Linked DNA regions of Nothobranchius furzeri. The protein of the gene in region 2 interacts with the protein of the main gene of each other region in a biochemical or structural test. Links are inferred from orthologs where the notes say so. Each region holds a gene or a part of one and is shown on either strand. Other genes may lie near its edges. The genes, in order: wdr82 and setd1a.

Region 1 (4,415 bases), on a different chromosome or scaffold from region 2:
TTTAGGCTAATTAGCTGCTTGTAATGATCGCTATAACGTTTCCTGACCCATAACACAGGTTTCATGTGTTTGCTGTAACATTACAAACACTAAGAATTTATTTAATTATCTATGTTAAGTTTAATAAGTGTTGTCACCAAGCCCACTGCCAGCATGTATTTGTTTTCTTGACCCATATCGATATCAAACTGGAACAGACTGAGTCAGATCAGATCGTAACAATCTATTCTAACTCTTGAGAATCGGAATTAAATAGATTCTTGAAATTTGTATCAATGCCCAGCTCTAGTCTTGTGTGTCTTTAACCTGCTGTGTTTTAATAAGTTCAAATAAAATACAGCTTAAAAAAAATAAACATCATCACGGTTGTTTAGTTTATCACATGACATTGATAATACATCGATTATAATTGTGCAGAAGATTTAAAGGGCTCCAGGTGTAATATTTGTCTGTATGCACCATTGTTTATTTTAGTTTCTGTTTCTCCACGCGTGCGTGTGTGTGTGTGTGTGAGCAGCATTTTTCCATCTGATTTTTTTCTTGTATTTTCTAAACCTGCGCTTTGCAATCAAAGAGCCACTACCTGCATGTTTTCTGTTTTCCTGCACTAACACACCTGGTTTGCATCAATGGGTGATTAACAGACTTCCAAAAACTTTGAGGACACGATGATGAGGAGATTCAACCATTGAATCGGGTGTGTTGGAGCAGCTAAAACACGCGGAGCAGACCTGAGAAGCCTTGATCCAGACTGTTAAAGGTTTCATTCATTCAAAATTTAAATCTGTTCTAGGATTTAAAGCACCTGTATAAAAAAAAAACAAAAAAAGACAAAAGCAATTCTTACTTTATCAAATGACCGCAGATCATAGAGTTTAACCATTTCTGAATTTATTCCTGCAGCAAAAATGAGACCCTCTGGATCAAAAGAGCACACCGGCTTTCCCTGCAGGTGCATCAGTCCCTAAAAGAGACAAATAATAGCAAAGGTCAAAATCAGTTTTTTCATTTGACGAGTGAATCAGCAAGGACAGCGCACCAAATGAAAAGCTGTTATCATAAATGTGAAACATTTTAGCTGGCACTTTTGACTGCTTGAAATTGGACCCTTACTTGGCAGTTAGGCGACCGCAGATCCCACAGTCGGATGGTTTTATCTAATGAGCCAGAAATAAATGTGTCATCCACAGGAGACATGGAGAGAGAAGTCACCCTGGTCACAACAAACACAACCACAGAACAAAACATGACGAGTAAAAACTTTAAACCTGAAACATTTTAAAGGAAAACAAAAACTTACAAAAATAAAACAGTAAACAGATACAGAAATAGTTACTCAGCCCTCACCTCTTGTTGTGTCCAGGAAAATAGCGGATGTATTTGTTGTCATGAAGAGACAGGTACCTGATGGTGTCTTGTAGGAAAAGAGACACATCATTAAACTCGTGTCAGTCAATAAACATGTAAGACCTGCAGCGGGAGTAAATGATTAAAACGAATCCACCAGCATCAACATGTGATGAGTACACTCAACCGTGGGCAAGGCAGTCACTTGTACAGTTAGCTCCTGTATGGGGCAGAATCACAGACCCTCAAACTGTACAAACAACTACCTCAGACTACAGTGAGCAGCATGATGAGCTGTGATGGAGAAGCTGGAGGTGGAGAAACATCCTGTAGAGTTCAGTCAATACAACAGATCATGATGCTGTGGCTAAAAAAAACAAACCCTTACAGACCAAGAAAAGTATTCATCCCCATTCACAGTTGAATGAATGTAATTATGGAAATGACATTAGTTTACATACCATCAATTTTGTTGGAACTGTAGACCACAGTGTTTGCAGCATGTGTGTACCTGATCAGATCTACTCCATACTTTTTACTATACAGAGTCCTCTTGGGCCTGTAATTAATCAGAACAAACAAAACGTGATCAGACTAACATCAAGAATTTTAATCAGAACAAATAAAACTAACCAACTGCTATTTTGTTAAAGTTCTATATTCTGCCGTTCTTGTTTTAAATCTGATTACATGCTAATCCAAATCTTCTACACATTTGGTTTTCTCTCATTTACCTTAAAAATAATGTATCCACATAATTGTATTGGAGCTAAATATGAAATAATGCTCGCACATGCTCATGTGAATACTCGTTTAGATTCAAAATTACTGATGATGCTGTAAAATAAGTTTTATAAAACTTAACAATTCAAATTTCTGCCCTCTTTACACCATCACTCAAGCTAACTATTACAAAAAATTTTAACATGTTGGGTTTTATTTACGGGTATATTTTACCAATCAGATAACCACATAATTATTACTCTAGCGTAATTCAAACGCGTATTTTTATTTGACCGCTGAGTCCTACGCAGTGCGACAGGCCTCGGTGTTAGCTTAGCATGAAGCTAATTCCAAAAAGTAAACTCAGCAGAAATCGCCCTTACTTTCCTTCCTGGCAGTCGTACAACACTATAGAGTCATCGTCGCTGCTGGAAATAATAGTTTCTCCGTTCGAACTGAAATCGAAGCAATTAATTTTGTCTGAGTTCTCACGAAATACTTTAGCAACCCTGAAGCTCCGTAGCACATTGTCCGTTAGCTTCATGGTTGTCTTGAGGGGAAATAGGCCCTCGTTCTCTTTGAACTTGATTTGGAAAGTAAACTTGAGGAAATTCGTGTGGATATGTGAGCAACAGTTACACTACAAGTCACAATTATCGAGAACTCAAATCAGAAACAACGACAAAATCCCGCCTGTAACACAGAAGGGAAGGGAAACGCAATGTCCGTCGCTCTATAACGGAAGTCACCTGACACGGGTGAAAAAACACGTGACGAGACAGCGTGTTATCGCGAGAATTACCACCAATACAAACAGCAGAAACACAGTGAAGAACAGCGTGAATAATCAAATCTTTCGCGTTTTTAGCTGATCTTACTTTGAAATTTCAGAGTGTTCCGATTTAAACACAAGACAGTTATTGTGTTTTTGACGTTTAATACGTATTTTTTATAATAGTAAGTGTGGAATTTTGATGTTCGAACATGAACGCAGAGGTAACGAAGAAAGTTCCAGCAGGAATTTTGACTCCATGGATAGAAACATTTCAGGTATTTGGCAACAAAACTGTCAACATTGACAGTTTTAGGCAAATTATTTCAATTTTAACTAAGATGCTTTAAAGTGCCAAAATATTGACTATGCACGTCTACACAATTAGACACTAGTTTAGTTTATCAGAAGAAAAAAAAGTTGATTTGGGGGTAACTTGCCTTTTAAACTTAATTTAATTTGATTCACACGTGTTCAAGTAAAATAATATGTCTCAACTGGATGAAGAGCACTTTAGCATGGTCTATGATCCGTTAAAGTTAATCATTAAACAGAGTTTAAACAACACCAATCATTGTCGGGCCAGATATTTGTTCCACTGCTGAGCTAGAACACACACGACGGGATTCCACTGGAATTTGCAGGCATTAAATGCCACCATTCACGACCCACACAGGTAGGCAGTCTTAAGGAATCTCAGAGAGCTCAATATTGGAGTGAAAGTTTGCAAAAGTAGAATGTTGATAACAAATATACAAGTTTTAGTTATTGGATTAGTATTTTTATGGTTGCTTTTCAAAAGCAAGATATTATGCACATGGATGAGGATAAAATTAGATGCAGAGGTTTTTCCACACCTCCTTTCTTTCGTTTTTGTACAACGAGGAATTGTTGGTGTACTAATTCCAAGTTTCTTTGAGGCATGTAATAAATTTCAAATGTCTTCACATGTTAAAGGTTTTTTATTGTCATTCTTTGTCCTGATTCATGAATTTCTCAGACCCATTGATCCATCAATGGCCCGCGTCCTTTCCCTGATCCGGCCTCAGCCTATTCTGGCCCTCGTGGGCCGGCCAAAACCTACATTCTGCAAAATGTCAATGGACTCACGGGCCCGGAAGGTCTTTGCAGCGGCAGTGGAAGCTGTGCAGCCAGACACTGTAATCAGGAAGAGCATAGAGCGCACGGAAGATTCAGTTCTTATTGACGGTCGCAGATTCACACTCAAACACAACCTGCACTTGGTGGGCTTTGGAAAAGCTGTTCTGGGAATGGCTGCGGAGGTAGAGAGGATCGTGGGTGATCATTTAGTGAATGGCGTCATAAGTGTGCCTCATGGGATTCAGCAGACGTTACGGCAGCACGGGAAAAGGTAAGGAAAGACCTTCAGAGGGAATCAATTTATGCCAAAGAACTAAAATAAATCAAGCTCTTAATTCTATCGCAGCCATCTCCTGCTAAAGGAAAACAGTCGAATCAAAGTGATGGAAGGAGCTAAACACAACTTACCTGACGACGACGCCCAGAGAGCAGCTGAAGGCATCAAGCGGTTAGCCAGTGAACTGACAGAAGA
Region 2 (3,822 bases):
ATGAAAGGTTTACCAACAATCAGTCCCACACTTGTCCTGAAGTCATGTGGAAAATGCTAAGAGAGAGAACAATTTGAGGAAAATATGGAAGTATACATCTGATCAGAAAATTAGACTGGAAGTTTTTGTCGCTAAATGTGCATTTGTAACTTCTACCCAAAGATCAGAACAATCGTAAACAGATGAGCCCTTACCTTGGCTTTGGTCTCCTTCCTCTCCCACCACTCATCAAACGTTGCAAACGCTACGTTCTCCACCATCTTACGGTTTAGGTCCCTCTGCATGATGTTCTTCATTTCCTGGATAAGCGTGGCCAAGACCATCTGCACCGTTGCCTCATGTGGATTCTCAGCCAACATGGGCATCTGCTCCCCGGGAACGCTAAACTCGTTCCCATCTCCGGTCAGCATAGTGCCGTAGCCAGGAGGGGGCATGTAGGAGGGGTAATGAGGAGGTAAGACGTGTGGTGGCCAGCCAGTGTGGGGAGGGGGTGGTATCTGAGTATTGTGGGGATCGTGGTAGGGATAGGACATATGAGGGGGCATGTACCTGTGGTCTTGGTCAAAATGAGCACCTGCCCCACTCCCCTCCTGGTCCATGTAGGAGTGATGCGTGTGAGGAGGTGGCATTGAGTGAATATGGTAGGATGAGTAGTCTGCAGTAGCGGCCTCACCTGGACCTGGTGTGCCGTTGGATGAAGACATACGCATCTGCTGTAAGCGACTTAGCATGTGTGTCTGCATTTGGAAGGACATCGGTGCTCCACCACTGTACTGGTTCATCAGTTCCATCGAGCTGGCGTAGTCATACATGTGGTGAGGCATAGGAGGGGGATACTCAGGGTGCAGCTCCATGTGGGGAAGGGGGGGAATCCCTGGTGGAGGCGGAGGCTGAAGGGAGTAACCATGAGGGGGAGGGGGAGGTAAATGAGGTGGGTAGGAAGGTATTGGGAGGTGCATAGAAGTGCCAAAGTGCTGCGAAGAGTCGGGTGGTGGGGAGGACGAGGGGTCTGCTGTTTGTGACGGTGCAGCCTGAGAAGAGGACGGTGAAGATCCCGAAGCGGCTGATTGCTGATGGGTTGCTGTTGTTGTTATAGTGGTTGTTGTTTCCTCCTCCTCCTCGTCTGAGATCTCCATGTCCTCCCCAGAAGAATGAGGAGAGGCCTGACAAAAAGAAAACCAGATTATGGTTTACAGTTAAAAAACCACCCGTGTGTTTGTGCACATTCCACAGCAATAACCGCATTTAGGAAATTCACCTCCAGGGAGACCGACCACAAAATCCAAGGAAAACAGATCAAACTTAAGACTGTAACGCTGTCATTAGCAGCGGTGTACTAGACACGTCGTCTCTGAACACTAAATACATTTTCTAATGCGACTTTCATAAGAACACGTTTGAAATTCACATGCAAGTATTAGACTTGTCCACAAGAGGGCGATGTTATTAAAACAACTACGCAATACAGGAGTAAAACGAACAAGTTAGCTGCACATTTCAGGCTCCACAGACTTTTAGATCGTCAGTCTCTCTGCACCTGGACAGAGCTGAAAACTTTGCAGCAGTATTATCATCTCGCCAAGTCTTTTAAAACTTGCTCTAGATTAAAATGATCTCCATCATAAGGTGTACCAAGAGCAAAAATAAAAGCAGAGAGATGAATTACGAGGCTAAAGGATGCAGCCGTTTTTGTTTCTAAACAAATGTCATTTTATTCTAGTAAATGAATAGAAGTTAAAGTGGATTTTAGACCACATGGTTTGCAGCAAGTTACTTTGTGTTTCAGTGTGGTTTTAAACTGTAACGTTCTAAAAGTCCCTGTCCTACCTGACTCTGCCCATTAAAGGGTGGTGTGTGAGCTCCCGTTCGGCTCTCTGCATCAGCAGAACCCGGCTGATCGGACTCTTGTTGTGACGTCCCGGTCCCAGCAAGGCTAACCTGGGGTTGAGGTTCTTCTGGAGGTAGGATAAGGGGAGAATGAGTGGAGGGGGGTTGTGTATCTGCTGAGAGAACAGTTGGGCTCTTCCTCCCCTCTCCCCTCTTCCCCTGTTTCTTTCCTTTGTGGCCATCTTGATCTCGCTCCTCTTTCTTCCTGTGTTCTTTCTCTCCACTGTCTCTTATGTGCTCCTGTTCCCCTGTTGCTTTACCTGACCCACCTCTTCGATCGACTCGCTCCCCAGCTTTGGCTCGAAGCTTGTCTTCTTTCCTATCGTCATCCTCTTCCTCATCAGAGGCGAGGAAAGAAAATTTCGCCTTTTGCTCTTTTAAGAGCATCTCAATGCGAGAGTCAAGACTGCTGCTGTGGTAAACAAACGGTAAACTCTCATTAGTGGAGTCGGGTTCTGGGGAAGAGGAGTCCCGGTGAGGAGGCGGTGGGGAGCTGGAGGAGGAGGAAAGGTGATGAGGAAGGGAGGCCGAGGAGGGAGAGTTAGAGGAGGAGGCGATAGTAGGGTGGACAGGAGATGAGGGTGGGGGAGTCTTGGGTGGAGCAGGTGGAGTGCTAGGATGACGTTTGGGCTTTGTCCACTGCTCTTCACCAGCAGGACTGTCCTGGTTGAAGTCCAGTGATCCTAGCGTGTCAGCGACAGCTGCCGCAATAACAGAGGCGGGTGGAAGTGGAGGGGGAGGAGGAGGCAGGGCACCGTGATGATCGGCGTGGTAGCCTTTGTCAGCACCTGCTGAAGGCAGAGAACCCCTTTCTGCAAGGCCTGTTGCCCCTGGGCGGGTGGACCCGTCCGATCCCTGAGGAGGGGTTGGAGCAGCCTCTTTAGAGGAGGCGTAGGCAGAGTAAGATGATGGAGGAGGAGACATGCTGTTCGAAGAGGAGCGATAAGAGTTGGAATTGTATCTGGGATCAGAGCTGTTGGAGTAGTCGCTGTCTCGGTCCCTATCTCTGTCTCGGTCCCTGTCCCGATCGTGGCTGTTTCTTCTGCGACTGCTGCTTCCGTGGTGGTTGTGAGAGTGGTGGTGGTGGTTGCGGTGTCTCTGGTGGCTGTGGTCACCTGACCGGGAGCCGAGGCTGTCGCGCCGGTAACCCCGATCATCTCTGCGGTCTGAATGGTGATGGGAGTGATGGGAATGGTACTTTGAGGAAGAGTTTGTGTCCTGCTGGTGATGGTAGGATGACCTTCTGGAGCCAGTGCCCCCTGGTCCATACCTCCCCCCTGAGTCTCTTTCACGGTCTCGATCTGACATTGGAAGATGGTCATGCTGATTGGAAAAAGGTGGGGGAGGCATTGTGGAGTGATGTGCTATCTGGGGCCCTGGTCCTCCAAGATTAGGGTAGGGGGGGTAGCATGGTGGCTCGTTGGGACGATAGGATGGAGGGTACCCTGGGCGACATCGATGGTGCACTGATGGATCCTGTTCATCGGGGTAACGAGATACTTTGTATCCTCCGACAGAAGACGAGACTGCAGAAGATGAAGATGATGATGGTAACATGTCCTGGGGGGGATAGCCACTGCCCAAAGGGCCTGGATTATAGCCAGGATGTCTGCAAGACAAAGATTAGGTAAAACAGTTATTCTGGGGATTTACATACATAACAACTCTGCAAAGCTCTCTTTACTTAGTGCCTCCGACGTCAAGGACAGATGAGCAGTTAATACAGCTGTTTAAAGCGACCGTTTCTGTTTAAGTAACTAGAAAACAGGTTTACGAGCTCATCAGATGCTTTTATGTTGTTTCTATTGCGCCTCCAGGTACAATTAAGGTCTGTTGTATTTTATTCTGTTTCAGAACTTGCCAAACACCAAAATATGTGTATTTTAGTTTATTGGTGCCAAACATCCCTTTACTGCTCAGCCACACAATCTGCAA

What was found.
Region 1: the proteins of setd1a (region 2) and wdr82 form a complex in vitro, tested with the Homo sapiens proteins (2 studies listed by BioGRID). The link is inferred for Nothobranchius furzeri from reciprocal best matches to the Homo sapiens genes SETD1A and WDR82.

The regions. Positions count from the first base shown.
Region 1 is NC_091743.1:64,676,420-64,680,834, reverse strand, and holds the start of wdr82 (WD repeat-containing protein 82), read right to left. Parts: upstream 2,811-4,415; 5' UTR 2,615-2,810; coding exon 2,454-2,614; intron 1,907-2,453; coding exon 1,809-1,906; intron 1,415-1,808; coding exon 1,348-1,414; intron 1,214-1,347; coding exon 1,114-1,213; intron 965-1,113; coding exon 848-964; intron 1-847. Other genes in the region: glyctk (glycerate kinase), read left to right, coding at 3,859-4,214, 4,290-4,415. UniProt on the Homo sapiens protein: Regulatory component of the SET1/COMPASS complex implicated in the tethering of this complex to transcriptional start sites of active genes.
Region 2 is NC_091745.1:9,179,829-9,183,650, forward strand, and holds part of setd1a (histone-lysine N-methyltransferase SETD1A), read right to left. Parts: intron 3,497-3,822; coding exon 1,828-3,496; intron 1,164-1,827; coding exon 195-1,163; intron 1-194. UniProt on the Homo sapiens protein: Histone methyltransferase that catalyzes methyl group transfer from S-adenosyl-L-methionine to the epsilon-amino group of 'Lys-4' of histone H3 (H3K4) via a non-processive mechanism.